Linked DNA regions of Mus musculus: all the other regions are reported to be linked to region 3. The links are microRNA targets in miRTarBase. Many come from high-throughput screens and were not tested one by one. Region 3 holds a microRNA gene; each other region holds the end of a gene's coding sequence.

Region 1 (7,163 bases), not on the chromosome of region 3:
TAACATCAGGAATCATGATCAATGTAGTTTATGAGGGTACAGTTAACTGTTCCAAAGAATTAGTGCTATTTTCAGTTGTCTTACCAAGTCCTCCAGTCACACTCCATCTTTCTCCCAATATTTCCCTTACCTCAGAGTACTGGCTATAGGCAAGATAAACAAAATGCATTCTGTCATCTATTTTATATTACACTGTGATGACTCCTCGTGACCAATGCAGAAATGTTAGTGATTGGTTCTAAAGCTTTGTCTTAGAATTTAATGCATGTCCCAAAATCACATGAGATTCTGTGTTCAGATACTGAGGGTCCCTGTCCCCAGTTGGTTATTGATTAGTCAATTGTCGCGCCCGCTCTCGACCAGCAAGAACGACGCGACCACCAGTCCTTCTAACAGCAGTTTATTCAGTCCTGATTCTTCTTGTTTATATCTCCCCCGAACCCTGGGCCTCTCACTCCTTTTATACTCTCTCTCATCCATGCACCGCAGGCCACGCCCCCTCGCCAGTCACGAGGCTTCAGCTAATCAGGGCAGCAGGGGCAAATCTCCACCAAATTGGATTCACCTGTATCCTGGTACACCTGCGCAGCACTCGAGATGTTTGTGTCTTATATGAGGAAGTCAGGTGCAAGTCATATGACTTAGCTGCAGTCCCTGGCGCCTTTGGGACTGCCGCCACACCCGCTCCCCACAGTCAATAAAGAGCCAAACCCAATAGCTGGTCAGAGTGAAAGAGGCAGGACTTTTGGGATTTCTGAGCAAGGAGAAGACAAAGGAATTCCACTATGAGGGGGCTTAGTACTGACCACCCCATACCCCATGATGACAGGGAAGCAGAGAGTTCATCATTAAGACAGGGAAATGACCCCAGAGGCCACTCACCATCTTCGGTCTAGGGTAACAAAGATAAAATATAGATTTAGAAAGTGTTCACTGAAGAGTACGGATGGAAGTGTATGCTAGCTGAAGGGAGGTTTGCAAATGCCTGGCCACTGAACTAGTCAAGGCATATTAAAATTAAGCTGACCCGAGTCTGTGTATGTGTGTGTGTGTGTGTTGTGGTGTATGGTGTGTGTGTGTTCTAATTGTGTGTGTGTCTGTCTGTCTGTCTGCCTGCCTGTCTGTCTCTCTGTCTCTCTCTGTCTCTCTGTCTTTCATTCGCAAATCCAGAAAATTCTGGCAGGTGACAAGAAGTGTGATCACACGTTCTGACCCCACTCCCAGAAGGGAGATCAAGGTAGATTATTCACTGCTACACATAAGAATCATCCCACCAAGAACACTTTTAGAACAGTTGACATAATAGGTATTATTTCACTGTGGGTGCTTATCTAGGAACTTTCATACTACTGTCAAGATGAAGCAGGATGATGTCTTTCTATTTTTAATTATCTCTTTCTATCTGTATTATTTTTCTTGACTTTGTGTCCCTATGGAACTATAGAATTCCAGGACTTACTGTACAATGTAGTTATTTTTACATGCTGAGACAAACTGTGAATTTAAAATCATACTAGCTAGTGTAAAGATCTGTTTCCACTAATTTGAACTTCAAAAATTTGTACAATTAAACTATTTGCATCTGCACTTTGATTTTCTCCATCTCTGTCTCTATTTCTGCTGTCTTTATTTCTGTCTGTCTCTGTATGTGTACGTGTACATGTATATATATACATATATATATATGTATATATACACATACATATATATATACATACATATATATATATATATAAAGGAAGAATCCCCAGTGTCCTTCTTTACCAATTTCTACCTATTCACTGGAGACAGAGCTTCTCACTGAAGCTGGAGCTAGGCAGGTAGACAGAAAATCGAGTGATTTTATTTTTGTCTCTGTCACACTTCCTGCACAGAACTGAGGTTATAGGTGAGCGCATTACCATGGCCATATTTTTTATATAGATGTTGGAGTCTGAATTAGGGCCTTTTTGCTTGCACAGCAAGTGTTCTTATCCACTGAGCATAACCTCAGCTCAATAACTTCCACTATCCAAGGAATGATGATATATGTGCAAACATGACAGATTTTTGTCATATAAAACAAATTCCCAGTGTTATTAGTAATGGTGATAATTATAGTAAAGTAATCAAAGATATGTGTAAAAGTCATGGAAACAATATGGCTTTGCATTAGAAATAAGAATTAAAGTCATGGAGGCATAAATTAAAAATTGTGATACATACAATTTAATAGGGTTTTTGACTTCTTAAAATATCTTTGTTATTCAAGCTTCTTCATCATTAAAATAAAGTAATATAACCATACTCAGTGTTCATATGACAAGCAGAAATTATATAGAGTAGTGCTTAGACATGCATCCAGTATATAAATGATGAAAAGGTTCTATTATAATTGTTAAAGAAGAGATTAATCTAATCTAAAAAATTATGTCTTAGAATTGAGATGGGTAATTATTTTTCTATTTTATGACCTTACTTTTTAAATTGTGTTTTAGAATATTACTCTAGAATGATTATTTCCATCATAATTTTATAAGTAGTTATCTACTTTCCTATTACCCCACTTGCATTTTTCAATGTAGCATATGGTTTATGTGTCTTAATCATCTTTATACCCCCAAATTCTAGGAAATATCTGTGAAATAAGTTAATGCTGATTTCATTTTGTCTTTATAAGTAAAATACATAACTACTTGGATTTTTTCTTTAATCATTGGTATATATTTATTATACAGCATATTGGTATATATTTATTGTACACATTACAAATTTTATAATGTACTCATTATAAAATTTTCATACTTGTATAACTTTTTCTTTGCTTATACTGATGCAACCCCAAACTACCCACAATATTGTCTTTCCTGCTACATTCTAGAATGCGTTAAAAAAAAAACAAATAGTTCCTCCTGAAAATGTGCATGTATACACTTATATGTATATATAATATAGAAAAACGTGATTTTTAGTGTGACCTATTGCATTCATCATCATGAATTATAAATACATTAGTTTTCTTGCAAATGACATAATTTAATTCTTCTTTATGGCTGAACAAACCTCCACCATGTATACATGCCATGGTTTCTCTATCCATTTGTCTGTGGATAGACATCTGGGGTGTCTCCACAACCTAGTTGTTGTGAGTAGCACTGTAATAAACAGATGTTCAGGGAACTCAAATAGTATATTGACACAGATTTTAGGGGGTATATGCTCTGCAAAAGCTGCTACCGCTACTACTTATGAGCCAGATCATACAGTAGTTGTCATTAAGAAAGAATAAAATATTTTAAAAATTAAACTGAAATTAATCAATTATTGTGTATATTGCTAAATATTTCTTTTTAAACATTTCAACATTTGTTTTCTAGTTAATGAAAAGATAATACTAGATTTTTAAAAGGTGATAAATTTTTAGTTTATTTTGTTTTATTTTGAGGTTCCATGATCACCACATTATTTTTAGTATAATTTCAGCATCAGACAGTTAACTCAGCACCCATTATGAAATGCCATTAAAGTTAGGATTATTGGCCTAACATAATAGAAATCACCTTTCCTGTGAAATTGAAAGTATCTCTCATTAAAACAGTCTACTTTCATCCTAGTACAGCAATATCTACCTGTAATCCAGACACTGCTCTGAGACTGGAAAGCCAACAAAATCCAGCAGTAGGAACCAGTTTATGCAACATATAGAACACTGATTTAGAAAACAAACTTTTTACTTCTATACATTTACTTTTAATTTTCTAAAAAAAAAAAAGACTAAGAAAGTAAAAATAATTTTAGTAAAGCAAATTTATTAAGAACTATATTTCACTAAATATTCACACTCAACATTTTATTTACCTATGGGACAAACAGGATGCAGAGCTGTTTAATTAAAGAGAATGCATATATTTTAAAATAGGCAAAAGGAAAGTGAAAGTGATTACTATGAATTTTTAAGATATTTTTTGAGGAGACATATTCAATTGTGATCCCAAATTTGGCAACTAAATAATTAAGGTAAGTCTCGAGTCTACTAGTTTAAATGGCTAATAATCAATTCACAATCAATCAGATCTAGTGACTGAAGAAAGTTCTACATGAGTTTTGATTCCAACCCACATATTGTTCGTTCAATTACATTTTATAAATATTTTATTATTTTTTGAAAATTTGATATAATGTAAATCTGCCCTCCACTTCTCCATGTGACTCTCCGCAGATCCACCCCCACCTCACTGCCTCCTCAGCTTCATGCTTTTATTCTTTTTTAAATGTAATAGCTCAGTCATTATAAGGCATGGTGTACCTATACTACTGGGCTTGAATCCTTCTACCAGAACATGATAACTCTACCAGGACTCGAATAGAAAACTGAGTGTCCCTCAAACAGAAGCCATCACTGCCCATAGGGCATCAGATGGGGATTGAGGCTAAGAAATCTCTTCACACTCCATCCTAGAATGCTGCCATATAAAAAAACAATAAGAGGCCCCAAATAATAAATTTGAAGCATATAAAACTTAAATAGAACATGAAAATTACTAAAGTTGTTCATATGTAGTTTGCAACAGCTAAATAATGTTAAGGCTTTTGTGGTATTAATAGCTTGTTTATAATTTATATTCTATTGTATAAACTGACAAACTCTACTCATAAATGAAAGCTTATATAAATGCTGAACATCAATGATTTATGCTTGCTGTCAGCCTCATAAGGACACTAGTTAAAATGACTTGTATCGATCACAGGTTAATCTCTACAGATAGAGAATTGCATGTTTGATTTGATAAAAATATATGAATACTAAAATTAATTTTAAAAGCCTAGAGGAAGAAGAAAGGGGGAAAATATTGCCACTTATTTATTTCTTAACAGAATGATGTAGCAACAGGACAATTTCAGAAAAAAGTGAAGCAATTTATAAAAGCTTCACAATAAGCAAGACTGAAATATACAAAGTTAATGAGAATTTAATGAAACTTTCAGATATATTGAAATAGTCATAATATAATTTTGTTACCATAATGAGAATATATAATCAAAGAGATGGTAACTTTTATCAAAGGTGTGACTGCTATACAAATACATACCTTGAACCGCTAGAGAAAAAAACAATATTCTATGATGACATGAAGTGGCAAAGGAGGGAATTGTATTGTGATAAAGGGAAACACTGAGTTTATAAAGACCCTTGTCAGCTGTAATGAACATTTGTTGGGTAGATTTATATATACATGCTAGGTAGCAGAGTACAAGAAAATGCTTGCATTGCATATACAAGGCACTGGGTTGATGTCCAGTACTAGAAAAAAAAATTAGTTTAGAAAACTAAAAATTTGCTTCCTAAAATTTTACTAAACTAAAAACTAAAACTTAAATTTTACTTTCACTAAAGTAAAAATTTACTGGGCTGGCGAGATGGCTCAGCGGGTAAGAGCACTGACTGTTCTTCCAGAGGTCCTGAGTTCAAATCCCAGCAACCACATGGTGGCTCACAACCATCTGTAATGAGATCTGACACCCTCTTCTGGTGTGTCTGAAGACAGCTACAGTGTACTTATGTATAATAATAAATAAATCTTTTTAAAAAGAAAAGAAAAAATTAATTTACAGTAAAAATTTACATTCACAGCAAATTTTGGTGACTCAACAGGTGTGAAGGTCTCAAAGATGACCCATGTGCCCCTGACACTATCACACTAGAATCTGATTCAGATAGTTTCCCATCGCTGTTCCCATTCCTTTGGCTCTTGGGCTTGATGATTTCAGATTGCAGTCAAGCCGACTTGAAGCTTCAGATGTTACTGAGTCATCTGTTTTGATTAATTTTCTGGCTATGGTAAACTTCAGGTAATAATCTCTAGTAATAACCCACTCCTTCCAGGAGCCACTATCCTATTAGGCAGAGCATTCCCATCTCTTGCCTGATATTTTTCCACCAGTCACAGAAGGTAGATAAGGTAACTTAAATGACAATTAATAAAAGCTGGCAGATGTTCTCCTCTGTTACTAATTTAGTAATTATTCGTCTTTCCTAATCATTAATGAAATAATTTCATAAATTAATGAATCATTTCTATCAATCCAAGATTTTCAAAATTGTTTGAATCAGTTAACACACACATACACACAAACACACGAGAGAGAGAGAGAGAGAGAATATTTTTCTTGGAAATTCACAATGAAGTAAGGAAAACAAAAATGTGCCTCAAGTTTAAATAATTAAGACACATTCATAAAAACCAGCTCAATTAGTTGTAAGAGGAAATTTTATTTAGCTATTAGTAAGTTATTATTTATATATATATATATATTTTAGCAAATCCCAGTCATTTCTTAGAAACTAGGACTTAGGAAAAAACATGGGTCTGAAAAAAAGCCAAACAGCTATGGTCTATGTTTTATACTAGTTTAAATTTGTAGAAACACCAACAAATAGGTCGAGTGAGGTAAAACCTTTCAGTCCCACTCTGTTTCCTAGGATGTTCACAGATGGCTCTGATACAGCAAGCTGTGGTAGTCGTCTTTGTCCATGAGGAGTGGCTGCCTTTCCTCCTGGGGTTGCTTCTTCTTCTTCTTCTTCTGAAGGCATAGCCTACTGCTAAGCCCAGAGAGAGCTGCAGCAATAACAGCTCCCACCAGTGCTGCCCCAAGAAGCCATGGCCAGATACGACTGGCTTGTTCCAAGTAAGGCTCAATATAATTTCTGTAAAAGCCTGGATCTGAAATAGAAAGAGATCAAGCTGTTTTCACAGATATCACCAGCACCATCAGCAGCATTTTAGCATGCTACTTAGGAGTAAGAGGCTTGGGTTGTAATGCCAGCTGTTTTGCTTAATAAAAAGAAAATCTTGGGGGAAAATTAACCTCTTCCTTCTCAAGCACCCTTTCCTCCCTAGGAAGAAAAGAAAATAATTCTCTGCTTTTGGGATCTTTTGAAACTTGAATATAACCCTTGATGTGCAATATTGTTAGGTACTATTGTTACAATTCCTTTTGATGATTATGTAATTATACTGCTGATCTATGAAACATAGTTATATTATTAACTGTTGATGATCTGTTGATAATTTAAATTATTTGAGTAACACTGACTATACTGCTAGAAGAAACTTTGTAGTCTCAGAGCATTCTCAAGAACACTACGACATTTGTACACTCTCTGTTCTTGCAGAGATCTGTGC
Region 2 (7,163 bases), not on the chromosome of region 3:
GGATGTATGAGAAAATAAAATTTGCCTGAGTCTGCTGCTCCACAGTCTCTAGCCGTGTAAGACAGACCAGGAAAATCTCCCCATCTCTATAAAAGACAAATTATTTCCCACGTTTCACATGGCAGGAGGAAGGATTCTCTCATTCAGTGGAGATCTTAGAGTTTGCACCTACTCTCAGGCAAATAGTAATTACTCTGTTTTCAATGTCTCACAAATGTCTATTTGCAGATGTCATGTGTCAAATGTCATATGTGGGTGCTGTGAATAGAGGAACCTTGTGCCTAAGCCTGACAGCTGGTATGGGACCTGCATGCTAGTTCACTTGGCTATGCCTTCTATCCTGACATTCAATATTCCTCTTAGCAAAAGCTAACTCCAGGGCTAAGAGGTAACTGATCACCCGACTTTGATACAGGGCCAGTCAGCACAGCAGGCTTAACCACAGATGCCCATTCAAACACTAGTCACAAGTGTCACCTTGTGGATCCAAAACATCCAGGGCAAGAAAACACTATCTGTAGAAGAGATCTCTCCAAGTCACCTTCCAGAAATGACAGCGACTAGGTCTTCAGCTCTACTCCCACGACAAACCTGGAAGTCAAAGTAGACACTGAGAGATAGGAATTACTACGTATGTTCTTCCTTTTGGACTCAGAGTAATATTAGCCATAATGCTTCCTATAGGGTTAGCCACTGTCTTAGTCAGGGTTTCTATTCCTGCACAAACATCATGACCAAGAAGCAAGTTGGGGAGGAAAGGGTTTATTCAGCTTACACTTTCATACTGCTGTTCATCACCAAAGAAAGTCAGGACTGGAACTCAAGCAGGTCAGGAAGCAGGAGCTGATGCAGAGGCCATGGAGGGATGTTCTTTACTGGCTTGCTTACCCTGGCTTGCTCAGCCTGCTCTCTTATAGAACCCAAGACTACCAGCCCAGAGATAGTCCCACCCACAAGGGGTCTTTCCCCCTTGATCACTAATTGAGAAAATGCCTTACAGTTGGATCTCATGGAGGCATTTCCTCAACTTTCTCTGTGATAACTCTAGCCTGTGTCAAGTTGACACAAAACTAGCCAGTACAGACACGATCCTTACCTAGGACTGGACTCTGACAAATGAAATTTGTTTTTACTAGTTCTACTGCTTCTAAAAATGATGTTTATAATAGAAAATTGTCTGATGTCTTTGGTTAGCCATACCAGACTATGGCTCCAAATAACTGTTGGTCCTTATGATATACTTTCCTAAAACTCAATTCCATGGCTAGTTTGATTGGAATCATGGGCCTACCCAGTCCTCTTGTCCCTTTTACAGACTGTTTAATTAACTGGTTATTAAACTCTTTCAAACGAACAGCCTTCGTACCTGAGGACCCAATGCTACCCCTTTTATAATGGGTCAATGTGTTGCCTTTCCCTCAGACCACAGTCTACACTCAGCTCTTCCCATTGGCTGAGCCCATCCTGCTGAGAAGATTCTTATGTAGCCACAGCGACAGCTTTGGAAGGCCCATTGCTTTACAACATACAAGGAAAGGGTTTAATCGACTGAAATGAAAACTCTTGTTCTTGCCCCGTGCCACTCTGGTGTGATGTGATTGTGAACCTTGACTTTGTAAACCCTACCCTGCTTCACTTCAGAGTAAGTGTACTTTATGGCAGGAGCCTGCTCTGTCACAGGCTTTAGTAAAGCACTCTGAAGTGGCCTTATATTCATGGTGGTCTGTAATCTACTCATGTGGTTATTTCAAGGGTACACAAAGGAAAGTCCCAGCTGTCCTGTGAAGAGAGGGAAATCCAAGTGAGAGCTGGAATTCCACTCAGTGGCAGAGCGCTTACTGGATGTTAGGGTTGGAATATGGACTATCTCCATGAGGCTCCAGTGGGTGGGTCTTAAGGGTTATAGCCCAGAAATGATTGCAGCCAAGGCTTCCCTCTACTTCTTGATCAGCCCAGATGTGAGCAAGCTGACACACACTTCCTCATCACAAGAGACTCTTCATCCTTTAAATTGCTTCTTGTCAAGCATTTGGTCAGTGTGCAATGAATTGGTATATCTACCAAACACAAGGCCAGGTCTGGAATGGGTCCCTAGAACTGGAAAATGTTGTTTATTCTGACATCCAACAATTTCTGTGACATTGTGGGATGTTGTCTTTGGAGTAAGACAGTTAGTACCATTGTAATCATAGCTGCTGATTACTTGCAAGACCCTGAGCAAAGCAGTTTCCTTATAGGAGGTGTGTGGGGGAGGCCACTAGACCTCATTTGAGATAGGAGCTACTTGTTCCCTCCTGCACGCCCTGAGCCCAGATGTAAGTGATTCTGCTCCAGAGGGGCGTGTTGTGAGAGGCACTAGAATATGTAGGAGGAAAGGTAACTGAAGGGTGGGGCTCCATTTACGCAGCTTTGGAGGTTGTCCCAGTGCTGCAAGGATGCAGCTTTTCTATGATGCAGCTGTCCTAAAGTTATCCAAATTCTTGTAAGTAGCCTTCACCCAAACTGCTGGAAATTAGTTCAGTGAAATCACCACATCAGCAAACTATGTGGGTAGAATGGTTCTCTGTCTGGGATGAGTAGACATTTATCTGTGTTGCCCCAGGAAAAGTTAATACAAAAGGTGCTAAAACTTGGCTTGTATACCATACCCAGGCCATTTTCTTTTACTTACATATATGATGTTTCTAACATATTATACTAAATGAATATTTGAATTCTCAAAGATAGGTCAAACTAAATGATATGTAACACACTATGAATAATTATGAATATTTATTAAGCACCAAAAGTACACAGCAATGGTTGCTACATAAAAAGCACAATTATTGATATAATTTCTTGCCATTAAGCTTACAATCTAAAATAAAATACAAGGATATTGTCAGCCTACATCAAAGTTTCCCTAACTTGAAATTGGCTAATTTGGCAAATGGATGAGGCAAAATGACCTATTTCAGGCAAAGTGTTATAATAAGGCTTTGAACATGACACAAAAAATCTTTTTTGTGTATCCATTTTCCATGTTATATTAGGATAAGGACAAAAAGGGCACTTAGAAATTTCATAAGCACAATGAATTATTTCAGATTGTTCTCAGAAATTCAAACAGATGTTCACTGACAAATGCCAGCAGCCAGTGAAACCCCACAACTAATAGGAAGTAGATGAAGTCTCTGTCTTGGCCCCATTTAGACCTCCATCTTCCACACTAAGGGCTCTAATGATTTACCCCACAGTGAAAAGCACCATCTCTAGATGAATTACCACATAATTATGAGATCAAACTTACTGGAATATTCCTGTCTGAAGAGAAGTGAGCAAAGACAGCAGTGGGGACTCTGGCTTAAGCGATGTCACGTAAGCAAAGGCAGTCAGGCAAGGCCACACACCTCGAAAGGGATGGGGAAAGCACGGGAATGAGTGCTTTTCTGCTCCATACTTCCAGTGAGGTATGTAAGTTACATCAAGACGCTAGACTACAAGTTCTATCTGCCTAAACGCATGTACAATAGTTCATAAATACTTCTAAGGTAGCCACTGCTAGTCATTCTTAGCTGACAAAGGCACACGGAAGAAATTTTGGTTCTTATTGTCAAAAGCAAAGACAAATTTAAAATGCTTAACAAACACAAATCATGTATATTTTTAGTCACATATAATTCTCTTAATATGAAAAGGATATTAGGAAATAAAATGATTGGTTACAAGTTAGTTATCTGGAAACAGAAATGTATTCCATAATGTGCATAATCAAGTATTTTAAAAATTCATGATTATAAACTTTTAATGGCAGAGTAACAGCATCCTGAGATATCCTTTTTGTGTGTACACATCCATATTTCTGAATGTGTGCATGTGTGTGTGTGGATGTGGAGGCTAGGGATCAGTCTAGGCGGCCCTTCCTCAGGAGGCATCCACCTTGCTTTTTGGAATACAGGATTTCCCCCTTGGATCTGGGGCTCACTAGTTAGGCTGAGTTTGGCTACCTCGTAAAATCCAGGGATCTGCTCCCTCCAAGTTTAAACTCAGGTCCTAAGGCTGGTGTGAGTCCATTACTGACTGAACGTTTTCCTAGGCCCCAGAGATATTCTTTACGGCAAAACAATACACTAGTGTTTTTGTTTGTGGGGATGTTTTGGGGGATAGTATCTCACACTGTAACCTAGGATTTGTCTCCAACTCCTGGTAATCTTTCTGCCTCAGCCTCCCAAATGCTGAGACTACAATGTGAGTCATTATATTCAGCAGTATTTGCAAAATATATCTTGGCAACTGAAAAAGAAGGTAACATGTTAGCAGCAGAAAAATTTAAAAAATGTTCATACTCTTGCATATTGAGTTCATACAAACAGAATGGCCCAGACATTTCAGGATAAACAGTTTTATAAAGTAGAACTCCCCAATTTTTCCTTAGAGTTGATACTCTTACCACCCTCTTTCAGTCTAAAGGTATCATTTATACTGCTTTACTGCTTTATAGTAAACAAAACCCAGTTATGACATTTGAAATAAAAAAGCCTTCATTAAAATGTTTTAGTATATCAGCATAGTTCTAATAAGAGGACAGGAATTAACTTTCACTGGCTTCCTGAGAAAAGAATTTTTAAAGTATGTATCAGTGGTGAATGATTCTAAATTTATGAATCTCAATCAAAATACTCATTTTGATATTATAAGAAATATCTAGAATTCCTGATATAGGATGCAGTTTTCTAAGGCAAGGCAAGTTAGATTATGTATGAAGTATAGATATTAGCACAAAGATAATACGAGATACAGTCATTCTTTCTGAAACAAGGTTTTAATATGCAGCCCTGGGTGGCCTAGGACTCACAGAGATCTGCCTGCAGAGAGCTGGGATTGAAGCCTAGTGCCACCACACCTGGCTCACGCTCACTTTTGAAAGCCATACATTCGAAGCTGCATTATAGTGCATTTCATGTCCCATTTGAATACTATGCATTTTATGTGTAATATAGTTTTAAAATGCTTCATTTCCCCAACATCACAATGTATGCAATATTTTCCAGATAACTGGCAAATTTTTGTTTTGTTTTGCTTAAAAATGTAAAAGATGCATTAGTAGTTACAAGTATGTTAAGTAATTTTATGAAGGAAAAATTTATAAGGAGAACAAAATAGAAAACTAAGCTTAGTGATTTAATAAAAAAAGAAATCAGTCATCCTGAAATGTTTTTGCTTCTTAGTAATATGCATGTTCCTTTTACAATGCTAACTGGATAAGCACATGACAACATAGGAACTGTTTGGGCACTTATCTTCCCATACAGTTCCCAGTATATGAATGGGAAATGATTTTCTTATGCGATCAGGGAAGCAAAGCTTATGTGAGTCCCGTGAAAGCTGACTCTTTATAACAGTGGTTGTCTATTATGTTTATTAACTGTGTGTTGGCGCATATGCACCATGGCCATCTGTGGAGGTTAGAGAACAACTTGTGGGAGTAAGTTCTTGCTCCACATGACCCATGTGGACACTGTCTCAGATACTCTCTTAAGGATTCAACTTAGTACTAGGCTGGCAGCAAGTGCTTTGGTTGGTCCATAGAGCAGGGTGTTTAACTCTGAAGTTAAATTTATATTTTGGATGGCTTAATTAAAACTACCCTTTAACCTTTTTTTTTTGTTTGTTTTTGTTTTTGGTTATATACTTTTAATGCCTACAGACTAATATGGCTAAAGAAATGAAAGTCCTGATTTCATCTGTGTTTTACATAGAAATAAACATTTTCTTTCGTTTTTAAATGAGAAAAGGGAAATGAAGAAAACCATTCTAATGCTCTGACATAGTTTTAAGCAAGGGTAGATCAGGTTAAGTAACATTGATTAGAAGAGAGAGAAAAAAGACACCAAAAGTTATTTCCTTCCTAAGGTCTCAGATAGTTTCTTAAGTCTTTTCTTCAGCTCCAAAGGAAATTTCTCGTAGCACTTCTTACAGACTGGCTTCATGTCAAATTCCACAAATTTATTCCTAAAGGGAATTATATATAAAAAAGAAATTAGTGGAAATATATTCAGCACACACATGCACAATATATACACAAACATGATAAAGTGACATAAATTCATGAAAAGACATAAATGAAGACGCAATGTAACATAGTATATAAAATCTCTATGTACATGTCAGTAAAGAACTGTAATTCTAATGTCAATTCTTATTATGATAAATGTCAAGAGTGACTGGTATCAGTTGAAAATATGCTTATACAATGGTTCTGTACCCCTACATTTAGAATATGTGATGTTTTAAGCACTGGGCCTTCTCTTCATCCCAAATAAAGTCAATCAAACTTTAAAGCATCAGGCAGCGCTTTCCTCTTCTCAGTGCCTTTTACCCCCTAGTTTGTTGAGACAGTTTCACTCTAGAGCCTAGTTGGCTAGAACTCATGGGGATTTTCCTTTCCCAGTCTACCCAGTGCTCGGATTGTAAGTGTGAACCACCATGCTTGTCACCAACAAACTTATTCCAATATATTTATTTAAAGCAAAGAAAAACTGGGGGGTTTTTTTGTTTGTTTGTTTTGTTTTGGGGGGAGAAGGGTTTCTCTGTATAGATCTGGCTGTTCTGAACTCGCTTTGTAGACCAGGCTGCCTCAAACTAACAGAGATACTCTTGCCTCTGCCTCCTGAGTGCTGTGATTAAAACCACCACACCCCACAAAGAAATGGTTTTTATAATGTGAGTGATGTAATTTTTGAAGGTAAAAGGATCTTATCATGTATTTAGTATTTTTAATTAGGCAACTATAAGGTTTCATCTTTCCCTGTAGAAATGATTTTCCTTTTGTCTCCTAATTTAAAAAAATTACCTGAAATTATTTTTTAAAAAAAGAGCTTAAATCATAGTAGGTTATTTTTAGCTATTGGGACAAAAAGCTGGTTATCATTCTTGAACACTAAGGTAATGGGACAGCCCTTAAGTGTTCCTTAAGTGGTAGTTCAATAGAGAACATGATTCCATTCTTAAAGCTAGAAGAACACATAGTATCAATTCACTTATAAACAGTTCTGGAGAAAACAGCTCTTAGGTGGTCTCCACCTGTAATGTACTCAGAAAAGCTAATTGCAGGAGCTTAGTACTGCTGAATTCCAAGCTCTGTACGTTATTTATAACCTGTTCATTTGCTGTGAAGTTATACT
Region 3 (7,163 bases):
CCCCTGCTAGCTGGCCGCTCACTGGGCTTGTGTAGCCATGTCCTGCTAAGCCACGGTCAGGAGAAAAACCTGGTAGGAACTTGGCACTGGCCTGGAGTGGACCCTGAAAAACCCTCTGCGTTTGGTAAGGACTGCTTACTTTGGGATATCTGCCATTTCTGGTTTCTACCCTGGGGACATTCTATGACATTTCTGCTCACCACAAGCAAGAATACCTTGCTATAGTATCAATTATTTCATTCTTTTGATGTGAAATTCGTTTGAATAAATAAATACATAAATGCTTTAAAATCCTCCAGTACTATTGGAATAGCTGAGTCAGAGCGCCCAGAGTCCTTTCTGGGACTTTCTCAACCCCACCCTTCCCTTCTTCCTGCCTGGGTCCAGCCAGAATTCCCAGTACCTCTCCCTTGGCTTCTGTCCAAAGGCTCACAAACAAGGTGGTGAGCTCCCAGCCAGCCAACCTCTGCCCCTTCCTGGGGTTCAACTCTCTTCTACAAATCCGAGTGTGGATGGCTCCCTTCCTAGGCCAGGTTCAGGATCTATGTAGAGGGACAAAACAGTGGGTTCAGGATCTATGCAGAAGGATAGCCCACAGTGGGGGCACTGATGTTTCCTCCTGTGCAGGGAACCATGGCCCAGGGGTCAACATCAGATGATCTAGATGCACCCCCTTCCTGTAGCCCTGGCCTCACTCCGGTTGAGGCCTGCTCTAATCCTTGTCGGAAGCATCCCAGATAACACGGAGGGGTGTGTCTCCTCTGGAGAAGAGATGGAGTAACTCTAGGCTGTCTTGGTTGGAAGGAGGCCATTTCTGGTGGGATCAGTGAGAACAGGCTGGCCCAGCCCTGGCCTGTTGTTCTCAAGTGATGGACATCTGCTTAGCAATGACGATGACAGTATTCAGTGGCAGGGTTAAGAGGCTGGTGTTTCTGCTATCCCACTCACCTCTTGGCAGTTATCTCACACGGATCCTCCTGTCCCGGCCCCTCTACCTACTGGAGGCATGGGCCTGGTGGTAGAGCACTTTGCTCCCATTGGGTTTCTCTCACCCTTCAGCTTCCTCCAGGAATGAAGTGAGGCTAGAAAACGGCATGGAAATAGTGCTGGCAACAAGTGTGCCTGACCACCAAGGACAGTCTCAGTCTCTCCAGGGACAGAGGAGCAGACTCAGGTTCAGGCTTCCAGGCTTTCAACACAGGCTCAGTCTCACATCTGAGTGGTGGGAGGGAGAGTTCCTTAGAGGGGTTCCAAGCCCCTGCCTAAGGCTTGGACACCAAAGCTCTGAAGACCAAGCACTACAGAGTGGTCTACAGCAAACACTGACCCAGGGATCCAGCTTCTTGCTCTGCCCACTTGTGGTTTGGAGCAGGAGCCTGGGTGATGATCCACATCCTTCCTCCGCCAACAGTTCACTCATCACCTGAACCATATGCTATAGAGCAAACTCCTCCCTGGGTGAGACAGCTCAGAGGAGGAGGTCAAGCCTCCCTAGACATCCATTCTTCCGCCCTCAGACCCTGCTTCGCATCCTATTTGACAAGTTAACGTTTGCAATGTTCTGTGTCCTGTGAAGTCAGGTGGCTCACGGAAGAATGGAGACTGCACTTTCTTGACTCCAGAGGTCTCAGCCAGATGAGGGAAGCCTGCTTCCACAGCCTCATGGGCCTCTGGTGCAGCTATGGGTGGCAGGAGCTGCTGCCTAACTTGTTGGGGTGGGGGACTAGAGGAGAGGGGAGGATAGGCTTGCTCTGCACCCAGCCAGAGGTGGCAAAGGACAGCTCTACCACAGATCCTTCACCAAAGCTGTGAAATGGGCATCTGGTTCCAGTGAGATCTCCACTTACCTGAAACCCATTGGCAAGAACCCAAGCCAGACACAGCCAGGCACAGGGCTCAGTGACCCATGGGGACAAGGGACTTGATCCCTGAACAAAACCCACCTTAGGCGACAGCTTTGTTTTGCTTTAGTGGTTCCTAAGAACAAAGAACAAAACCAGACTAAACCAGTGCTTGGCTGCTCTCTCCAGTTCAGAGGAGGTATGGGCCACTGAGGTTCTCAGAGGGGCCTTACAGGGTGTGTGGTTCTTAGTCCACCTCTAAGCAAGGCCAGAGTGCTTCTGAGAGCAGGAAGGCATAGACTCAGCCATTTATTTCAAGTCTTCACAGAAATCAGGGTAACATTAAGTAGAATTAACACACTTTGATACTTGTACCATTGTGGTATACAAAGCAGATAACCATTTGCAAGTCCCCTGCAACCATCCAAATGCAGTCACTGCTACAGCCCAGGCTCTGAAAACCAATGGTTCTGTGCGGACGCTCCTCTCAGTCTGTCCTAGAGCCTTTGTCACCCAGCAGGTCTGGGTGCAGAAGCCTGGCCAGCCAGTGGGATGCTCCTTCTGGTTCCTCTGTCCACCGCTCTGCCTTGGCTGGGCTCATGTGACTGCACTGATGGCTCAGTCTCAAGCACCGTTCTCTAGACAGTGACTGAAAGAGCTTAGAGCTTGTTCTGAGACTCCGCTAGTACCAGGCTGGCTGAAACTCCACATTTGGAAGAGAGCAGAGTCCCAAGCCACACTAATTTCCCTTTACTTCCAACCTTTTTAGAATTAACATTACCTGGAGGTAGGAAGTGTGTGGAAAGTGCCTGTTCTGACACACGTTCTTCTTTGCTTTTAAGGAGCATCAAATTCAGAAGCAAACTGGAACACTAGCAAATCTGGTACTTTATTAAGACATTTTAGGCTTTCCTGCATTTTCAAAAACAGGAATGCTCTGTTGACTGAACACATCAAAAGGGCTTTGCAGAATCCTTGGGGACCAGCCACAGGAGGTGTCACATGATTCTGCAGTCTCAGAGCATGGCAGCTAGTTTTTGCAATCACAGGAAGCAGGCAACCGGCTCTCCATCTGCCTAGGGGAGGGTGTCCTTCATTGAATGACTGCCTTAAAGTCACAGCTCAATTCCAGTGTGTAGACTCAGTCTCTCTAGGACTGGGAACAAAGGCAGCTGCCAGGTGCAACAGTTTATGAGGCTCCGCCTTTTATATATGCCACGGGAGCCCAGTCTCTGGAAGCCCAAGATGGACCAACCACTGCTGTGGGCTGATGGCCTTAGCAGCCACATAATCCTCCCTTTGATGTCCAGGGTCAGTGCAGTCCTGGCCCCACCAGGGCTAGGAGAAGGTATATGAGAATCTCACTGTGATCTGTCCTGTGGAGGAAACAGCAATAAAATTTATTACCCAGTCACCACAGCCATTCCAACAGGAGTCCTCCCAGCCTCTGACCTCCACTTGAGAGGGAACTTTTCATGGGAGGACAGGGGCAACACTGAAGCCACACCTCACAATCCTGGGTCTGGGGTGCACAGTCACGGCACAGGCCATGCAGGGCTGTGAAGCCCAGAGAGGTTCAGAAAGGCTCTACAGACAAGGCCCTTCAGACAGGCATTCTCACTGCTCAAGGCAGCGGTGACATGGTGTGCTCTGCCCCAACACGTGGCAAATGCTCAGCGCCTGCCCTACCTGCTTCTAGGGAATGCAAACTTTCCAAGGTTAGCTCTGCACTCTACAAATCCCCACCTCGGGAGCACATACAGAGGGATACCACTGCTGTTGGGTCTGGTACCAGACACTCAGGCCCTTCATCTTCTTCTCCGTGGGAGGCCTGCCTCAGGCACTTACAGATGGGTAGGCTTTTTGCTCAAGGGCTCGACTCCTGTTCCTGCTGAACTGAGCCAGTGTGTGAAATGAGAACTGATATCAGCTCAGTAGGCACCGGAGGGCGGGTCCAATCACAGCTGGGCAGTGCCTCCTGGCGTGCCCTGGGCATCATCTTGCCAGCGACTGTGGAGACATGGAGACCTGGACTGCAAATACAAGAAAGAGTTCACCACGCCCAGCAGGGACAAAGAACCACACCCCCACCCATCACGTGTGGCATCAGCTGAGACAAGGTTGGCTCAGTTTCCTTGATGCACCTGGGTTTAGTTTTCTGTGACTCCCAATACACTTGACATTACAGTGAACTAATTAGCAGTAGAACTGTATTTTCTGTAGACACACTTAAGGGTGGTCAGCACGCTGTTTGCACTCTTGACAACACAGCCTTGAGGCAGGCTGGTCTCTCCTCCTCTGGAGTGACCACCAGGCAGTGGCCTCTGCCTGGCAGCTGCAAGTTAACTGTCCCCATCTCACCTTCTCTTCAGGTGCAGAACTTAGCCACTGTGAACAAAGCGGAAACCAATCACTGTTCACCAATCAGCTAAGCTCTGCACCTTGTTAGAGAGGTCATCGCCGGCCATAATTAAAGGGCTGGTGAGCATCTTCGAAGGCTGTTGGCTTCTTTTGTTTCCAAAGAGCCACAAGGCGCCTCTGTTCTCCAAACTGCAGAGAGAAAGTAGCCACGGTTCTGCAGGAGCAGCCAAGGTCATGGTTGCGTGGTAATCCCTGGCAATGTGATTTTAATCTCAAGTCACAAATCAGCATGCCAGGAACCCAAGCAGCCAGAGCAGGTGAGGGCAGCACCATGCCCAACCACTCCCATCCACATGTGCTGAGTGTCCTCCAAACCGCCTCTGAGCCCACCACGCTAGCAGTGCAGCCTGCTGTCCTTCAGCGCGCTGGCTGCACTGTATAGAGGAGCATAGGGGACTGGGAGACAAAGGACACACTTATCAGCTATGAGACCAATACCTTAGGGACCATCCTTGCTCTGAGTATGTGGCCTTTAACCCTGGGACACACCCTGTTCTCCAATTGCAGACTGAATGGGTTGGGATGTCTCTGGGCCCCTCAGACAGCAGGTGTGGTGTGTAGGGAGGGAGCATCTCTCTGGCTTGCCTGTGACCAAGCATTTGGTTGGATAAGCTGAGGCATAGCACAGAGCTCATAGGGGACCTAGCAAGTTGAGGATTTGCTCACTCAGGGGGCAAAAATACTCTTAGAAGAGTCACTAGGACCACTATGTGACTATGGCTTTCCTAAGTGAAGGCCTAGGGACCTAAAAAGGGAACAGTGGCTTTACTGTGTGACCTTCACACACCACATACCAACAATCCCTCAGCTTACAAGTTTCTAGAGAAATGTCTGCAGGAGGCAGTGAAGAGGCGCCCCGACCGACTCTGTCTATCCACACAGGCCACCGTCCTAGCTTGTAGTGTGCAGGCTTAGCAGGCTGTACCTGCTTACTCCAGCCCACTATCTCCCCTGCTTGACTGTGGCGGTCCCCAGCTCTTCTGCAACAACATGGTCATACATAGTAACATGTTTTCCCTTCATCAGTGTAGTTCTTCAGAAAAATAAACATTACACAGAAGTGGGTTTTATAAAAGTGAAATGTGAAAATGTAAATTTAATGTCTGACAATGGGTTAAGATTAGCAACACAATTCTAAATATTCATTAATTGGTAATCATAGAGAACAACAGAGTAACACAGTGATTGATGTAAAATTTCAAACATATACAAAAGTAAACATCATATGTACCACCATGGCAAGCGATAATGTCCTGGGATGATGTAGAGATGATGACTGGCGACTATGAAAGAGACGCACTAGCCCACACCTGTCTCAGAACTCCACGCCCTGTGGCTGAACTGCATTACTGGTCCACAAGCTGGCTACAGAGGAGGCAAGTTACACCACAGCCAAGGACTCTGGGAGCCAGCGTAAATCCTGTTCCAGCACGAGATGGAAACAGACTTGCCTTTAGGACGCAAGTGTCACTTGGATGGAGGGGCAGAGAAGACCTGCTGCCTACTCTACAGGTCAGAGAACCAGAGGCCAAGGAGTCTCAGGTTTACACAGCCTCTAGGAGAGATGCCTGCATGCTGAAGCCTGGAGCAATGAGGCCATGGACCGCTGTGTTGACCTTGACCCTGGAGCCTGTGGACCTGTGCAAAATCCAGGGTGGCTAAAGCAGTGCCAGATCTGTTGCTCCTTCAGCTGTACCTGCTTCACACCCATGCTTCCAGCAGGTGAGGTGCTCCAGAGATCCTGAGCCTTCTTCCTGTTCCTGAGGACCCACCTTGCTGCTTCCTCCCCAAGACCGTTTGGCAGCCCTCTGGTGCTGTGGCTCATCATGTGGCTTACCAATTGACATGGATGGTTAGAAGAAAGAAAAGAGAATTACCTCTTTAGAACAGCATTTCAGTCACCACCTGGGCCGATGCTCTGTCCATGTGTTCCTTCACCAGCTCAAAGCACCTGTGGGCTAGCTGCTGCAGCCTGGCGTCCTCACTCACCATCAGCTCCCCATACAGGTATATGCCCATGGCCTGCAGACCGTGAAGGCCAGAGAAGAATGGGAAAGGGGTAAGAGGCTGCACATGTTTATGGGGACTTGTTTGTATTGCTTTACACAAGCTGGTCTAAAAGCACAAAGGACAGAGAGAGAGCCTGCTGCCGTGCAGGTGACCAACTGAAGCTTGCACCTTCTACTCTGTCTCCATTGTCCTTATCAACACTCTATGGAAGCTGAACATGGTAGCACAGGCCTTTAATCTCAGCACTGGGAGGAAGAATAGGACGATCTTTGTGAATTCAAGGCCAGCCTGGTCTACATAGCAAGTTCTAAGCCACACAGAGTCACACAATGACACCTTGTCTCAAAAAACAACAGAAATACAGAATTCTATTGATTCTGTCAACCGACTCCGGTGCCCGAGTAGCAAGCTATCCCAAGATGGCTATTGTCAGGAATACACTGGGCAGAGGCAGAGAGCTCTCAAAATGGTCACCATGGAAAACCTTGTCTGTCAGGCCAGTGCATCCTAAAGGGTAGCTGGCATGAGCTTGCTTACAAAGTCCATCACCTAACAGGCCACAGAGACCACATGGCCAGCAGTGCAGGCAGGGCAGATGCTGTCACTTTGGCCTAACCCAGCCACCAAATGTCAGACTCTTGGCTCTTCTGCTTTGAAAACAATGCTACAAAGGCTTGAATTCTCACTGAGCCAACATTAAAAAAGCAGCCAATTACATTCTGCAAGTTCTGCCCGCTTTCTTGTTCTATGGAGTTTCTCAAGGGTTACATTCTGCTTCAAATTCAAGTGTTTCAAAGGCAGCATAGGATAAAAACTCAGTGTCGGCTTCCAAAGAGCTTTCCTGCAGGGGCTGAGGCGTGGAGGTCCCTGTACAGCAGACAGCATGGCTAT
Region 4 (7,000 bases), not on the chromosome of region 3:
GGTTATCACCAGGCTCTAGAGTGGCCTCCACTGCCTTCCCTCTCAGAGCAGGGCTGTTGCTAGGCTATTGGGAGGTTGGAAAGCCCGAGTGGAAGGGGCTAAGGGGTGAATAGTGGGAGCAGATTGGAGGCAAGACACTGGTTTTTAAGATGTATTTATTTATTTTATGTATGTGAGCACATTGTAGCTGTTTCACACACCAGACAAGGGCATCACATCCCATTACAGATGGTTGTGAGCCACCATGTGATTGCTAGGATTTATTTTATGTATATGAGTACACTGTTGTAGCAGTCTTCAGTCACACCAGAAGAGGATATCTGATCCCATTACAGATGGTTGTGCGTGCTATGTGGTTGCTGGGAACCTCTGGAAGAACAGTCAGTGTTCTTAACCGCTGAGCCATCTCTCCAGCCCTTGGAGGCAAGAAACTCTTGTGGACATCCCTGAATTCCTTTGAAACCTTCCATGCCTCTGTGTGACACTGTTATATACACACTTCAGTGTTTTTGGAACTGAGACCCTTGAAGTCAAGGCTGTAGGTTCCTTATTCTGATAGGTTATATATACATCAGGAGCCTCTTAGCTGCATGTAGCTCAATGCAGCCCTTGCTATAGGCCTGGGTTTGCTTCCCAGCACCACAAGAAGGAAGAAAAGGCTGCTAAGATTACCAGCGAGTATAGATGTCAGCCTGGAGATGGAGCCCTGGATACTTAAGGCCCTAGATCTGCTCCCTATCAAATGAATAAACAAACGATGGCTGCGGGTAGAAATGGATTTTCCTGGTACTTCTGTGGCATTGGAAACACTCACCTCAAACTGACTTTTCTCTCCCCAGAACTAACCTTGCCCCAGTTCTACAGCTTCCTGCACGAGATGGAGAGAGTCCGAGCGAGCATGGAGTGCCTCAGCTGACCCTGTTCCCGTTCCCTTGCCCCTGCCTCTTCCCTAGTGTCAGCCTACTCCAGGCTCCCAGCTGCCTTGAGAGGCCGCGGACAAAGAGCTTCTAAAACCAAGAGTCTCAGCGCTTGAGGAGTGCTGCCTGATTCTTCTGCAAGCCCCACTGGGAGCCACCACCTCCGGCTCCTGGGTGACTTTACACCTAGATGCTCCGAGAGCTACTGCATCTGGGACTGTGTCCTTTCTCTGGGAGGCAGTCTTGTCACCTCCCATCCAACAGTTCACAAACGGCTCAGTTCCTTCATTCAGATGGTTGGGTACGTGCTTGTGGCTGAGGAAGGGCGGGTGGTGTGGACAGTGTGTCAGGAGTGGTGTCACACGTGTCACACTGTTTGGAGGGGGAAGGGCATTGCCAGCCACTGTCTGCCGAGTCGTCTGTGTAAAAGCCTGTGCTTAGTCTTCTCTGGAAAGAACTGAGGCCAGACGATTTCTGTGTTTGTCTCTTTGGCTTTTGTGTTATAAGGAGGCAGGCCTTTCGAGGCCATCTTACATTGTTTGGTTCCAGAAAACCAACCACCTTTTGGTTAAGTGGTAAATTAAAAAGAAAAACAGTTTCTAAAGAAAAGCTCTGAATCCACAAAATGTCTTTCTCCATGGTTTAAGAGTCAGCCGACCTGGGTGTAGCGGCATATACCTACAACCTTGGCCCTGCGGAGACAGAGACGGGAAGATCACCATAAGCTAGAGGTTAGCCAGAGCAGCAAAGTGAGAGCCTGTCTCAAACCAAGCCAGCCATGGGGGCGAGACTGACGGCTCTGTGGTTAAGAGTGCTTCCTGCTCTTTGGGGAGTCCCTGGTTGCTCTGTTCACAGCATCCACTTCTGGAAGCTCACAACAGCCTGTAACTCCAACCTCACATCTTCTTATCCAAGAGCAGGCATACACATGCCATGAGTATACACATACACATATACACTCTGACACACATTCATTCAATAATGCAAATGAAATAAATCTTCTTTAAAAGGCCACAGGGGGGCTGGTGAGATGGCTCAGTGGGTAAGAGCACCCGACTGCTCTTCTGAAGGTCCCGAGTTCAAATCCCAGCAACCACATGGTGGCTCATAAAAGGCCACAGGGTGTGGCATAGCTCAGTTGGGAAAGTGTTTGCCTAACATGCATAAAACCTGGCGTGGGTTATGTGGCCCCTTGTCTCAAAAGAATAAAACCAGGGCCAGTGAGATGACTTAGCAGGTAAATACACCTACCCCGATGCCCGAGTTCAACTCCCAGGATCCACTTGGTGGAAGGAGACCACTGATCCCCACAGGTGTAGTCTAACCTGTACACACCCGTGCACACCCAAGCATGCCTACTAAGTAAAGACATCAAATTAATATAAATATCTTAATTTTAGATTTGGTTTTCATGGTACACCTATAATAGCTTACAACCCTCTGTAAGTCCAGCTTCAGGGAATTTAATGCCTCTGGCCTCCATGGATACCTGCGCAAATGCTCATAATTAAAGATAATAAATCTCTAGCCTGATTGCTTAAATATTCCGTTAAAATTCTCTCTTTGGACCATAGCTAATCTCATAAGAGAACTAGGGGCTTTCACCAAAAAGAGAATGGTAACTTGTTGTTTGAAAAAGAATGTAGTTAAGGCATTTCTGGATGGCTTGGTGCTCACTGTATACCCAGGGCTGTCCTCAAACTCATGACAATCCTACCTTGCCCTCCAACAAATGAGTGCTGGGATTACAGGCATGGACTCCACGCCTACTCTTTACAAGGGACCAAATACAGGGCTTTCCTGCATGTTAAGCAAAACACAGCTGTGTTCCCAGCCCATAAAAGTTTTGTTGTTCTCACATTTATTTATGTGGAGTTGGCTGAGTCATGTTTAGGGCCTTGTGGATTCAAGACAACCTTCAGGATGTGCACTCTTCCTTCCATCCAGCCGTCCGCAGCAGGATAGGTCTGAGTAGACGTGAGGACCCCTTCCCACCTTTTTTTTTTTTAAAGATTTATTTATTATTATACATAAGTACACTGTAGCTGTTTTCAGACACACAGAAGAGGGCGTCAGATCTCATTATGGATGGTTGTGAGCCACCATGTAGTTGCTGGGATTTGAACTCAGAACCTTTGGAAGAGCAGTCAGTGCTCCTACCTGCTGAACCATCTCACCAGCCCCCCTTCCCACCTTTTTCTAGCTATTCACTGGAGGAGATCTGCTAGTTCATTCTGTATTCTGGAGCTATTTCTTGCATTTGAATCTATGTGCATATCTTCTGTGTGTACTATCTCACACAGACAGCAGCGTGTATAAACACCAACCTGCACCTTGTTTTTTCCAGTTCACATGGAGATCTCTCTTTATCAAAAGCAAGAGCCGCCTCAGCCTTTGCTTCCCCCAGTGATTGATCGGACCAGTTTCCTGCTGGTTTGATACAAGGTCTTTTTGTAACACCCTGGATGCTCTGAAATTTGAAGATTAAAGATCTTCACCACCATTTTTTATGGGTTTGTTTGTTTGTTTAATTGTAATTGCATATTACAAATATTTTCACTAAGCCTACCTTGGTGGTGCACGTCTTTAATCTCAGCACTTGTGAGGTAGAGGCAGGCAGATGTATCTGAGTTTGAGGCCAACCTGGTCTACATAGTGAGTCTCAAGACAGCCAGGGCTATGCAGAGACACCCTGTCTCAAAAACAAACAAAACAACAACAAAAAACACCCAGACTTTTTATTTACATTGAAGGGTTTTGTTTTTTTCCCCATTCAGTGCATAAAGATTCTCCATCCCTTTCTGGCTGTAAAGCAGTTTAATGTGTTCATGCATTATAATGTTATTTGTTACTTTGGTTACTGCCAGTATTCATCAGGGTTCTCTAGAGAACAGAACCAGCAGGGTGTACATACATGTCACTATGTGTGCGTGTGTGCATGCGTGTGTGTGTGTGTGTGTGTGTGTGTGTGTGTGTGTGTGTGTTTGAGTTGTTTTCTTTCATTTTGGGCCATTTTGAGACAGTCTAGAACTTTTTTTTTTTTTTTGGTTTTTCGAGACAGGGTTTCTCTGTATAGCCCTGGCTGTCCTGGAACTCACTCTGTAGACCAGGCTGGCCTCGAACTCAGAAATCCGCCTGCCTCTGCCTCCCGAGTGCTGGGATCAAAGGCATGCGCCACCATGCCCGGTGGCCTAGAACTCTTAAATCCTCCTGCCTCCACCTCTCAAAGGCTGAGATTACAGGTTTTTGCTCTCTTGCCAAGCAGAGCTGTTTTATCTTAAAGGATTTGCTGTCAGGATTACTGAGGTCTGAGAAGTCTTAGGGTAGATGACAGAGACACCCAGAGAGAGCTGTAGTCCCATTTCTGAGGTTCACTCTTGACAAATTCCTTCTTGCTCCAGGGGAGGTCAGGTTTTTCTTTTCTTTTTTTTTTTTTTTTTTTTTTTTTTTTTGGTTTTTCGAGACAGTGTTTCTTTGTATAGCTCTGGCTGTCCTGGAACTCACTCTGTAGACCAGGCTGTCCTTGAATTCAGAAATCCGTCTGCCTCTGCCTCCCGAGTGCTGGGATTAAAGGTGTGCGCCACCAAGCCTTTATATTTTTTTCATATTAATACCGTAAGCTGATTAGATGAGGCTACTCACAGCACAGAGTCTGCTGTCCTCCAATTCGCCTCATTTAAATTTAATTCCATCTCAAAAACACCCTTACCAAAACCACCCAGAATGGTATTTAACCAACTGAGTTAAATACCAGCCATCCTGGTGGATGTTCAGTGCTACACTTGACTGTCTCTTTGTTCTTTTCCATAATCTTTCTGTGAAGCCCTGATGCTCTGAAACTTGATGTTTGAATCTTTGTTCCCACCATCATCAAGGTCACCATTAGAAGTTCCAAGGACAACAAGTCAGTTCCCTTGGGCAGGGTCCAGGTGTGCTCATGAGACCTCAGGGGACCTTGAGAATCTAATGTAAGAATTCACCAAGGACGCAGTGGTGCCTTAAATCTCAGCACTCAGAAGGCAGAGGCAGCAGGAAAGCCTGGTCTACATGCATAGCGAGAGCCAGGCCACTTCATAGACTGTTAAAGCCAGGGCCACTCTATTAAGGCAGGTGTAGTGGCACACACCTGCAATCCTGGCACTTGGGACGCTAGGACAGGAAGATTGGTGCAAGTTCAAGGCCATCCTGGAATACTTGCACATGCATACAAAATCAAAGCCCACTCATTTCACAGCAAGGGAAACTCAGGTCACTGACCAGTAGTCATGGGATGCTGCCCTGCGGTCCTCTCTAAGACCAGTAAATACTCTTTACCTGCTGAGCCATCTCTCCAGCTTCTGTTTTCTCCGACACTTGCTTATTGTGGGTTTGTGTGTAGACACATGCGGAGATCAAAAGACACCTTTGTAGAAGTTGGTTCTTGGGACTGGAGAGGTAGCTCAGTGGTTAAGAGCACTGACTGCTCTTCTGAAGGTCCTGAGTTCAAATCCCAGTAACTACATGGTGGCTCACAACTGTCCGTAATGAGATCTGATGCCCTCTTCTGAGGTATCTGAAGACAACTACAGTGTACTTAGATATAATAATAAATGAAGAAGAAGGAGAAGGAAGAAGAGTAAGAGGAAGGGAAGGAAGAAGAAGATGAGGATGATGATTGGAACACTAGCTCAGTGGTTAAGAGCACTTGCTGCTCTTTCAAAGGATCTGAGTTTGGTTACCAGCACCTACATGACAGCTTCTTTTTTTTTTTTTTTTGGTTTTTTTGAGACAGGGTTTCTTTGTATAGCCCTGGCTGTCCTGGAACTCACTTTGTCGAGCAGGCTGGCCTCAAATTCAGAAATCCGCCTGCCTCTGCCTCCCGAGTGCTGAGATTAAAGGCGTGCACCACCACACCCGGTTCTGGCCTCCACAAGTATCAGCCGTCCATGCAGTGCTCTGACATATGTGTCAGCTGTCTCAGAAGGTTGCTGTGCTGTGATGGAGCACCCTGACCAAAAGCACATTTCAAGGTCATTGTTCAGGAGGTAAAAAAGTTAGGGTAGGAACTCAAGCAGGGCAGGAACCTGGAGGCAGGAGCTGATGCAGAGGCTGTGGAGGCGAACTGCTTCCTGGCTTGCCCAGCTCTGCTTGCTTTCTCATTTCGTCTCCCCTCCCCTCCCCTCCCCTCCCCTCCCCTCCCCTCCCCTCCCCTCCCCTCCCCTCCCCTCCCCTCCCCTCCCCTCCCCTCCCCTCTCCTCTCCTCTTCTCTCCCTTCCCTTCCCTTTTCTTTCTTCTTTTCTTTTCCTTGTCTTTTTTTGTTGTTGTTGTTTTGTTTTTCAAGACAGGGTTTCTCTGGCTGTCCAGGAACTCACTCTGTAGACCAGGCTGGCCTTACACTCAGAGATCCACCTGCCTCTGCCTCGAGAGTGCTGGGATTAAAGGCGTCCTTTAGTCCCTTGGCTGTGTTGAAATTTTGTTCCACGTATACTCTACTCCCTGTAGACATTGATGAGGGTCTCGAGACTGCTCCTCTCGGATTCTGACACAACACTGGGCATCCCAGCAGCCCTTCCTGCTGTTCCCACTTCATTGTGCACGGATTTACTCTTGCTCTGAATAAGAATTCTGTCCTCTGCTTTGGCTGCAAAGTCTTTCCCCCCTCCTCTCTATATACTGTTCATTAAGATGGTAACTAATGGTCAGGCCAACCACTAAAAAGAAAAAAAGAAGCCGGGCATGGTGGCACACGGCTTTAATCCCAGCACTCGGGAGGCAGAGGCAGGTGGATTTCTGAGTTCGAGGCCAGCCTGGTCTACAGAGTGAGTTCCAGGACAGCCAAGACTATACAAAGAAACCCTTTCTCGAAAAACCAAATAAGAGAAAAAAGAAAAAAAAAGAAAGGTTAGTCCAGGAGAAGAGGAACCATAACTTTTTGCTACTCATACACAGTAGCAAAGTGTATATATAGAGTGCCCTAGGTTGCCCGGTAGGGCTAAGGAGGCAGTGCCCTGCCATTCTTCCCTTCACACTGGCCAGGCTCAATTCTGTCAGCTTTGTCTGGGAGCAGCAACCCCAGACTCAGCCTGCTGGCGTGTCCCTTTGAG

Evidence for each region. The annotated mature microRNA mmu-miR-24-3p reads UGGCUCAGUUCAGCAGGAACAG and lies in region 3 at 3,724-3,745, opposite strand. An mRNA with a match to its seed (bases 2 to 7 or 8) in the 3' UTR can be bound and repressed. Matches are read on the target gene's strand: a 7mer-m8 pairs with bases 2 to 8, a 7mer-A1 pairs with bases 2 to 7 and ends in A, and an 8mer does both.
Region 1: the mRNA of Tyr is a reported target of mmu-miR-24-3p. Seed matches in the 3' UTR shown: 7mer-A1 at 5,468-5,474 and 8mer at 5,399-5,406.
Region 2: the mRNA of Lims1 is a reported target of mmu-miR-24-3p. Seed matches in the 3' UTR shown: 7mer-A1 at 4,884-4,890.
Region 4: miRTarBase lists Commd7 as a target of mmu-miR-24-3p. Seed matches in the 3' UTR shown: 7mer-A1 at 3,013-3,019.

What each region holds. Positions count from the first base shown.
Region 1 is chr7:87,422,584-87,429,746 of GRCm38, forward strand. It overlaps Tyr (tyrosinase), which reads right to left. Exons shown (of 5, transcript NM_011661.5): 5 at 2,188-6,701. The coding sequence ends at 6,466. Among named protein-coding and RNA genes, the nearest start is that of Tyr, 67 kb to the right of the region's middle.
Region 2 is chr10:58,420,282-58,427,444 of GRCm38, reverse strand. It overlaps Lims1 (LIM and senescent cell antigen-like domains 1), which reads right to left. Exons shown (of 11, transcript NM_001193303.1): 11 at 2,754-5,991. The coding sequence ends at 5,990. Among named protein-coding and RNA genes, the nearest start is that of Ranbp2, 23 kb to the left of the region's middle.
Region 3 is chr13:63,297,833-63,304,995 of GRCm38, reverse strand. It overlaps Mir24-1 (microRNA 24-1), which reads right to left and starts at 3,788; the gene lies at 3,721-3,788. Aopep (aminopeptidase O) reads right to left here. Exons shown (of 16, transcript NM_001289926.1): 16 at 2,119-6,284. The coding sequence ends at 6,144. It overlaps Mir23b (microRNA 23b), which reads right to left and starts at 4,512; the gene lies at 4,439-4,512. Mir27b (microRNA 27b) reads right to left here and starts at 4,284; the gene lies at 4,212-4,284. It also overlaps Mir3074-1 and a transcript of Fancc not described here.
Region 4 is chr2:153,613,352-153,620,351 of GRCm38, reverse strand. Commd7 (COMM domain containing 7) reads left to right here. Exons shown (of 9, transcript NM_133850.2): 9 at 840-3,422. The coding sequence ends at 916. Among named protein-coding and RNA genes, the nearest start is that of Commd7, 16 kb to the left of the region's middle.